Bombyx mori: one gene and its partner. The protein of the gene in region 2 purifies or fractionates together with the protein of the main gene of each other region. This does not show direct contact. Links are inferred from orthologs where the notes say so. Each region holds a gene or a part of one and is shown on either strand. Other genes may lie near its edges.

What was found.
Region 1: the proteins of ribosomal protein S6 kinase alpha-5 (region 2) and Msl3 purify together in Drosophila melanogaster (affinity purification with western blotting; 4 studies listed by BioGRID, with this or other methods). This does not show direct contact. The link is inferred for Bombyx mori from reciprocal best matches to the Drosophila melanogaster genes JIL-1 and msl-3.

What each region holds. Positions count from the first base shown.
Region 1 is NC_085113.1:6,781,249-6,785,672, forward strand, and holds the start of Msl3 (male-specific lethal 3), read right to left. Parts: upstream 2,825-4,424; 5' UTR 2,603-2,824; coding exon 2,501-2,602; intron 1,190-2,500; coding exon 1,011-1,189; intron 182-1,010; coding exon 54-181; intron 1-53. UniProt on the Drosophila melanogaster protein: Component of the male-specific lethal (MSL) histone acetyltransferase complex, a multiprotein complex essential for elevating transcription of the single X chromosome in the male (X chromosome dosage compensation).
Region 2 is NC_085130.1:7,262,122-7,266,662, reverse strand, and holds the start of ribosomal protein S6 kinase alpha-5, read right to left. Parts: upstream 3,025-4,541; 5' UTR 2,226-3,024; coding exon 1,580-2,225; intron 1-1,579. Other genes in the region: CCAAT/enhancer-binding protein zeta, read right to left, coding at 4,078-4,439. UniProt on the Drosophila melanogaster protein: Phosphorylates 'Ser-10' of histone H3. May regulate gene expression by establishing or maintaining the structure of more open chromatin regions. Also required for normal polytene chromosome structure, for oogenesis and for viability throughout development.

The DNA of each region.
Region 1 (4,424 bases), on a different chromosome or scaffold from region 2:
GCTAATAACGATCGCTTCCCCCTAGGTGTGCTATAGATTATGGTTATATTTACCGTCTGGCTGGGTACTTGTCGAAGAGCCGTCGTCGCTAAAGCCATGACGGGTGCGCTTGGCGGGCCCCGCCCCGGCGGCGCTTGTACTACCACCCTTCTTTCGTTCCCGACGGTACAAGTAAGCCCCTCTAACAAAAAAAACCCCAATGTCGATAATACTGCGATGCAATTCTATAATTTTATTTCTATAGTTTTTCACAAAATAATAAAATCAAAGGTTTTTCATTACAATTACGCATTTTTTTGTTTGGAATATTCACTTTGCAAATCAGGATGCACAATGCGGATTTAATTTTTTTTATTGTTTTTTAATAAACAATAAATCCTAGATACAAATAAATTATACTTTTCATTACACACGCCATCATGTATTCGAATTATACGCTTAATATATGTCTAGGTACGTAGGTCTATAGGTATGTACTACGTGGCTAGGTTTCATGCGCAATAGCTAACGGGGATGTTTGCGTTGCCTAGGGCGTGGCTGTTGCAGACAATGAACTGCAGAAATTTTATACAATGTTCAAATGTTATGTATCGAAAATCGATTTTTTGTTGTTAAAACATAGATTGACATGAAATCGAGAAATAAGAATTGTTATAGGCCTAATTCTGATCGGAAAATATTTAATTAATTTTAAAAGGAATTTTAGTAGTTAAGACCTAAAATGCATAAGAATACAGTAAATTGTCTATAACGACTTATTAAACTTATTCATATTAAAGATTCATTGAAGTGTTACTAGCGACCCGCCCTCGCTTCGCTTCGGAAACTGTAATTTATTATTGATTTCTCCACTATCTAATGGATGCTATTATACACATAAACCTTCATCTTCAATCACTATCTATTAAAAAAAACCGCATCAAAATCCGTTGCGTAGTTTTAAAGATTTAAGCATACATAGGGACAGAGAAAGCGACTTTGTTTTATACTATGTAGTGATGAATACTTACAACTGAAGCTGTGATTTTTCAGCTAAATCACGTTGCAGCTGTCGATTTTCCTCTGTATCTTTGAGAACGAAGTCTTCACTGACACAGCGATCCCACGAAGAGTTCCATCCTTGGAAATGGATTAGATACTCAACAGTTCTACGCCCTCGTTTGTCTTTGCTCTCTACGACTTCAAGAACCTGTTTATTTATTGATATAATTAAATAGTATTTTACTTAGACACACTATAAATTCTTTGTTCAATACATTTTAACGGAAATTTCACTATTTTATTAATTTTTTTTCAATATGTTTTTTTACTGGTGGTAGGACCGCTTGTGAGTCCGCGCGGGTAGGTACCACCACCCGGTCTATTTCTGCCATGAAGCAGTAATGCGTTTCGGTTTGAAGGGTGGGGCAGCTGTTGTAACTATACTTGAGACCTTAGAACTTATATCTCAAAGTGAGTGGCACATTTACGTTTTATATGTCTAGGGCTCCAGTAACCACTTAACACCAGGTGGGTGTGAGCTTGTCCACTCATCAAAGCAAAAAAAAAAATACAGACATACTATAAATTCTTTGTTTGATACATTCTAATGGAAATTTCACTTTTTATTATAATATGTTTTCAAAATATATATTACTTGGATATAAATATTTTCAGTTTCAATACATATTATTATATTCATTAAAATGTTGATATGATTTGACTACACATGAGTTGTTGTACTTCCAATGTGCAGATAGGGTGTGGTCACGGTTTGCTTTGTTCGTGCAAATTCTTGAAATGAATATAAAGAATTCATTTCCTACTATATTTTTGCTCCAATTATAATGAGCAGATAGGTTTAGGTAGGATTTTGTTGTATTTTATAGAAAATTAAGATTGACGTTTGTAAAAAAAAAGCTCTATAATAGAAAATGTTAAAATTTTATAATTTTTCATTCAGTTTCTTTGTGATAATCAAGTTTAAGTGGTTTTTGAAAAAGTTACTAAATAATGTAGAGCATGTATCATTATATAGTAATATATTAATTTATTTAAGATTATACATCTCAAGTCTGGTCCAGGTGTGGCTATCAATAAAATAATATATTTTATGCAACTTTCTTTGCTTTTTAAAGCAATATTTGATTGGAATATTTTTTAAGTAACATGATGCCAAAAGCAAATGCATTATTTGGATTATGTTCTCATCAAAAATTTTAAAGCTAGCACTCTTATTTTTTTTTCCATATTATGTATATTTCTATTATTTGAATTGTAATTATATAACATTAATTATATACAAAGAAAGTTTTGGGTGTGGTCAACTTTTAAATGTTCTTTAGTAAAACAGATTCTGATTTTCACAAGTAAATGAAAGGATTTTTTTATATTTTTAAATTAAGGTTCTGCCTTAAGGTTTTACTTCATTTATTTAAAACATATATAGTTTTTTTACATATTGGTAGATTCCTCGTTTTTTGTTTAAAAAAAATATTATTTAAAAAAAGAAGTATTTTACCTTGGAATCATAAAGCACCTTGGCTTTAGTAGGGTCTGGCTCGTAGCACAGGACTCGTTCCCCCTCAGTGAATTTATATCGTAGCCCCCGTGTAGAGACCATTGTTAACTGATGCCTTGCCCAAAACTGATGGGAACTTAATAAAATCACTCCATTTAACAAATGCGATGGTTAAGTTTGTAAAATTTTAGTTAAAAACAAAAAAAAACAATGATCTGTAATAACCTAGCGATATTAACTGGTTGCGGACGTCCGAATGACTCCAGGTCGTGGTGTGCAATAGTAAGATCAGCGGTACAGTACTATTATTTTAGGTAGCGCGACACGCCCTGGACACGCCTTATATTTCTGAAAATAATTATTGTTTGGGCGTCGGCTGCTGCAGATATTTGTTTTGTTTGGTTTCTCTCAGCTGTCAGGATCTGTCAACGTCAAGTTAAAGCATTTAAACCTAAATAGTTCTTATCATAAAAGCATAAAGCTTACATTTCAAAATGACATGTTGATCGATTTCATTCTTGTTTCTCTATTTGATATTTGGAGAGGCAAAGAAATCTTAGATCATAATGCTTCAATGTAACTCTAAAACTCTATGGTTGAATGTACAAGATTATAGAGGTCAGCTTAATGTTTTCGGTCAGTTTCCGGGGATTTTAGAAGCTTTGTTTGGGAGTAGGCAGTGGGTCTCCCGATTAAGCTGTTAAGAAAATTGTTGATCGCAAAGTAGTACTACTTCAATAACGTTATTTTGTGGGGAGAATAACTAGTGAGAAATATCGAATGGATTTTACCTTTAACAAGAATACTCCATCAGTATTAAAATTGTAATTTGAAATACTAATGGCGGCTACAAAATCCATCTAGGTAGAACGATTTCAACCTATTTGGAGGAAATCGAAAAACACTATTATCTTCAATCGTACTTAACTACCAAAATATGTTATAATTAAGAGCCTGCGTTTTGTGATGCTTATCCTCAAGTTTTTTTGACCAGTCGTTAACTATTGAATCCGTTCGGCCATGGAATGTACTTCCTTTGTCGATCAAGATTGGCTCAGTATTAAAATTCTGTAAAGGGATGTTGAGAAAACATTACTTTTATGATTAGTTACCACAAAAAACGTCATAGAGCGTTTTTAAAAAGCGTTAAATCTGTATTTTTATAATATTCTTCTTATTTATAACTTCTTGTCATAAAATAGTTCTTATTACTTACATACTTTATAGTACATATTTATAACTGTACCTATGTCTTTTTATTTATTTATTTATTCATAAAATGCTGTATTTTAATTAATATTTTTCTATCTCATTCAGTCAATTAAGCATTTTAAATTGTTACATCGCAAGCTATCATTATTTCTTCTATGATTTTGTTCATCTTACGGTTGCCTGGAAGATTAATAGCGATAATGCGCACGTTGTATTTTCATGTTATGATATTTCTAAAATTTATTTTTAATGTTTTTACAAGAAAGCATAGTTTAATCTAAAACTCCGATAATTCGCTACGAAAAAAAAACGTTATTCTCTTTTATTATAAAATATTCTTTTATTATTTATATTCGGAGCCCATAAAAATCAAAGCGCACAGTTTGACACATGTGCTTGTGCATTTTCATTTATTGTAAATGCTCCTGTTTCAAAGGTGAAATGACGCATGACATGATTGCTTTGCAGCAGGATGGTTGTACTTATTCGTGCGGGGAGAAAAGGAAAATATTTTTTCTTATTCGACTACTATTTTTGGTAAATAGGTCTTTAGAATTTTTTAACAACGGAGGGGAGATTTTCCACCGAGCGGATAATGCTGCCCCGTAGACCGACGGTTCGAATGTTATTATTCGGAACTTGTATATATGCAAGCTTATCTTCAAAATGTAAGCGAGAATCAGGCATGTGTCAAATATCTTGCGTTGTCTGA
Region 2 (4,541 bases):
CAAGTCCGACAAACAGGACGGTACACAGGCGCACGTGTCCATTCGGAAAGAATGCGATACAATAACAACGTTATTTAGTTCCACGAAATAGAATAGGTTCAATATTGACGAGAAAACAATTCAAAAACAATAGAAGGAAGTTCCACAAAAGTTAAGAATGAGTCATAAAATAGCAGATGTTAAATTTGTAATTTGTTTTTTCATTTGTTCCTCCTAAATAATATAAATAAATAAAGGTCGACTGTCGCTTATAGAGGTATAGATAAGTAGCAGTCTCACTTACGGAGGTCCATGAGGGAAAAACGACTCTCTCTTACAGAGGTTTCTGTTTCTCTCTAATAGAGGTTTTGGGAGCTTAAAATGACGGGTCCTGGCTATTACTCTCACTTATAGAGTTTTCTCACTTATCCAGTTCTCGCTTACCCAGGTTTGACTGTATACGGAAACAGAGATGTTGCCTGTGTGTCGGTTTAAAATCTTTCTAATCGCTTAGATAATAGCGTGACTTGAGTAACTTCCCGGTAGTTATCAGCGGTGAAACTGCATTGCGAATCGGTGGCAAAGACCTAACTATTTGAAAGCGTGCCTAAAGGTTCACTTCAATAAGTCCTTGTATTTCATATTTAAAACCGGGATATGCAAGGCTTAATCTTAAAAGCGAGTAACTGCATCTGTCATGGGACGCACCAGAGAACTCAAATTGCGTCATGGTCATCAGTGTACAAGAAATTTTAATATCGTTTTTAAAACAGAAACTGAGCGTGATTTTTGCACGGCGAATTTCTGGCGCATATGCATGTCTGGAGACGTACATCAGCACGATACAGGTTTTTGCCGCTTTTTTCTACATAGATAAATACCGCTGCAAGATTCACAAATTTAGCATTTCGAAAACGATAACAAACTCGTTTCCTTTAAACTGGTATTCAAATCGTCTATCGTCGTCACTCCTACATAGTTTGAAAACTGCGATGCTTAAATAGTCCAGCTTTATAATTTGCCTATTGGGTCAACTGTTGACCTGTTGCCACATTTCTTCGAGGACGACTTATCTAGGTCCTCCGTATCGATTATATTGTCTCTATATAATTTAGTTCGTGTTTAAAACCAATGATTTAGGGTTTTATCGTGCGATATGTATTGTGCTTGAAACTGCCCGCCAATTCAAAAAACAAGGCTTAACTTTGTCTAGATTGCAACCTATTTGTCAATAACACCAAATGCGATAGATCCCATAGCCAATGCCTCTTTTTTAAGACGCTTTTATTAGCTTTATCGATATGTATGTATGTTTGTAGACGAAGGGCTCGACGAGTAAATTAACCCATAGACACAGCCCACTTAGTTTCTCGCCGGATTTTCTCAGTGGGTCGCGTTTCCGATCTGGTGGTAGATTCTGCGAGGTCTTGCCTTTGCTAGGGCAAGTCTTAGCAACATTCCCGGTATGAGCCCTGTGAGCTCACCTACTCACCAGGTTTCGCTGAGATAGCCTCTCGAGGCTATCAGCTTAGGTAGGAAAAAAGCTATTAGCAGTAAATTCAGGGGAAACCTTTTAAACAAACTACTTGATACTACTTACCATAGCCTATTTCGTGTCGCACGGTGTTCGCCTTCGTTATAACTGCAGTTTCTTTAAACGTCTCCTCATTTTTACATTCCGAGGCAATTTTAACGTCCTGTCGAGTGTCTTCGAAGTATTCATCGAATTTATTCTTATTAAAGAAGTCGAAGTCCACAACGGCCCTTCTCATGGTAGGGGTCGCGTTGTTTGCTCCGTCTATTTCGAATTGCAGCATTCTCGCCGGCGACATGCCATCGGTCATCGGCGAAGGTTTCACGAATACATCGTCCTCGTCCTTCTTAACTATCGATAGTTTGAGTAAGGTAGCTGCTTTACGAATGGTCTCGGTTGGGATTTTAGGTGTTTCTGAAATTGGCAGCAAAATTTCGGGCGTAATCTCATTGACCGGTGTGTTCATAGGTGTAGGAATGTTAAAGTCGGGCAATACGCTTGGTGTGTCGACCGAAGATCTAGCAGTATCTACGGACGTGACCCTCTCGCTCACTGTCACGTTTTCGCCGATTAAATGAAAGTTATCTAAGCCCATTCGAAACGTATCATCAGGCAAATCCAAGTTTTCTGTCGCAAACAATTGATTTGAACCTGCCGATAAGGGGCCTTGACCCTGCTCTGAGCTCATCGTCTCTACAATGGGCGACTCCATAATGCGATCGTAGATTTATATTTTAAAATATTAAATGAATTGAAGCAGTATAAAATACAACATTTGTCCTTGAAATTATCTCCCAATCGATAATCGCAAGAATTTCACATCACTTGCACGCACACATGCGCGTTACGTCTGTGTGCATCGGTGAGCTGTCAAACTAGTTTATGCAGTTTTTCCTTGTTCCATTCACAGAAAATTTCTAATTAGGATGCCTAGAACTCTGTTGTTACACTAAAAATCTTATTGGAATGATTAAAGATTCTACTAGAACAGCTGTAGAGACGAAAACATATGCAACACAACACAGGTTCGGCTATAAATAGATTAGTAATCGTCACTTGTGCACAGATAGCCCGCCTTTTTTTCCACAATAAAATCACTGGAAAAACAGTCCGTTATAACTAATACTTCACATAGATTCAACTAAAACGCGTTTCGGTCAAAGTTATTTTGCTTAAACACTGTGAAATTCGTTTATTTATTGGTTAAAACTGTTGGATACGGCGCGATGGCGCGCACGGCCGTAGCTACTCGGCGTAGTAATGTCAACAAACAAGCGCCACTTCGCTATGATCATGCGTAACATTTAAATTTATTAAGACTTCAATCGATGTTTTATTCAAAGATAAATATTTGTTGGAGTCGTAGTGCGTCGTATTTAGAATTATTGTTATTTATTTCTGAGATAGTTTCAAGATACGACAATGTTTGTGTAACTGTAGTATTAATAAATTTGGAATTTTACAGGAATGGAATTAAAAATTAATAAAAAATTACCAATAAAACACAGTTTTCTTGATCTGCATTTATTTATTTGAGTGCTAAATTAATCTGTTACGTGGTATTGTTTTGAACGTAGTGTTTTAAATTTTCAAGGTCATATCAATAGAGTGAAGTTAGCAGATGCGCGTCGAACCTCTTGTTGATATTATGGTTTCAACCTTGACCTTGCTTATAGCTATAATCCCACAGACCTATAATCGATAGAAGTTTTTCCAAGCGTAATGTGTATGTCGTTGAACATAATGAATTGTAACAAAATAGTTTTAAATGCGTTTTGTTCCAAAAACAAAATTTCTTTTGTGTAAAATCCAACCAATTTGAATGTGGTACTTAGATTATTATTAGAAAAAGATACTTCCGGACGCTTTTTGTGATTTTAAGAGACGTCTGTAAAAACTGATTCAGTAATCAATTCGGTATCAAATTGAAATGAAAAGAATATTCATTTGTCGAACCATAAATACTTGTTTAAATACCTACTACTATTTTATATTTTATAAAACTTCATTAGTGTATAATCTGTAAATGCAACGAGAATAAAGATGGCAGGTGTTCCCCGCGTATGTTTAAAATGACAGATCGCACACTTCAATCGATTGAAAGTGAAGATATTAAACATTTTCAGAACGTGTTTTGCAAAATTTTGCAGCTATATTTAGGATACAGGGATAAGTGATTAGACGAGATTATGAATGAAATACACCATTGAACTACCTATTAGATTTCACTCTTTTTAAATGCGCTTGGAAAGGAATACACTAAGCATTAGGTATTATAGATGTTTAGACAAGTCTATATTTAACGCCTGACTTAGTAACACATTCTTAGACGGTTTTAAAATCATATAGGCAAAACCATTTTAAAACCGCCACCATGCGATGACTTCTGTCATTAAACTCTTGTAAGGTGCTCACAGATATGCCATTTAAGTCGTATCATTTTATTTACGAGAATTTGGCTGCCGTAACGCTTAAAGTAATTTCAAGGATTGAATGATAATAAAAACAATAATAAAAAAAAAAACCATTTATTAGCTTTTTATTACGATGCAAAAAGACTAATACTATTTCATTCTTTTTTTCTTCCCACCAGGTCCGTTCGCCGTTCCGCCTTTGCGTTTTCCTTTACCCGCAAACTTATTCTCCTGCATTTTAATTTTCCCGCCAAAATTCTTAGCGGCCGTCTTCTTTCTGTCGGCCATTTTGTGTTTAAATTTCCCCCCGCTCTTATTGTTTCCCAAAATCTTTTTGTTGTATCCCTTGATCCAATTGTTTCTTTTATCTTCCCAGGCCAGTTGTTTTAAGCTCGAATTGTCCGTGTTGGAGACTGCTTGGCTCGAACCCTGCTTCTTGTTCGCGGCCGTGTCTTCTAATAGAGTTGAGAATTCTTCGGCTGACGCAAACAGAGAACTGAGATCATCTTTTCCTGTGAACATAAAATTGATATTTAAAAAAAAACCACCTACAATCGTCCTTTGGTTTATTGAGGGTAGAAGTAAGGACCATTTTGTATATGGGACAAGTTGAA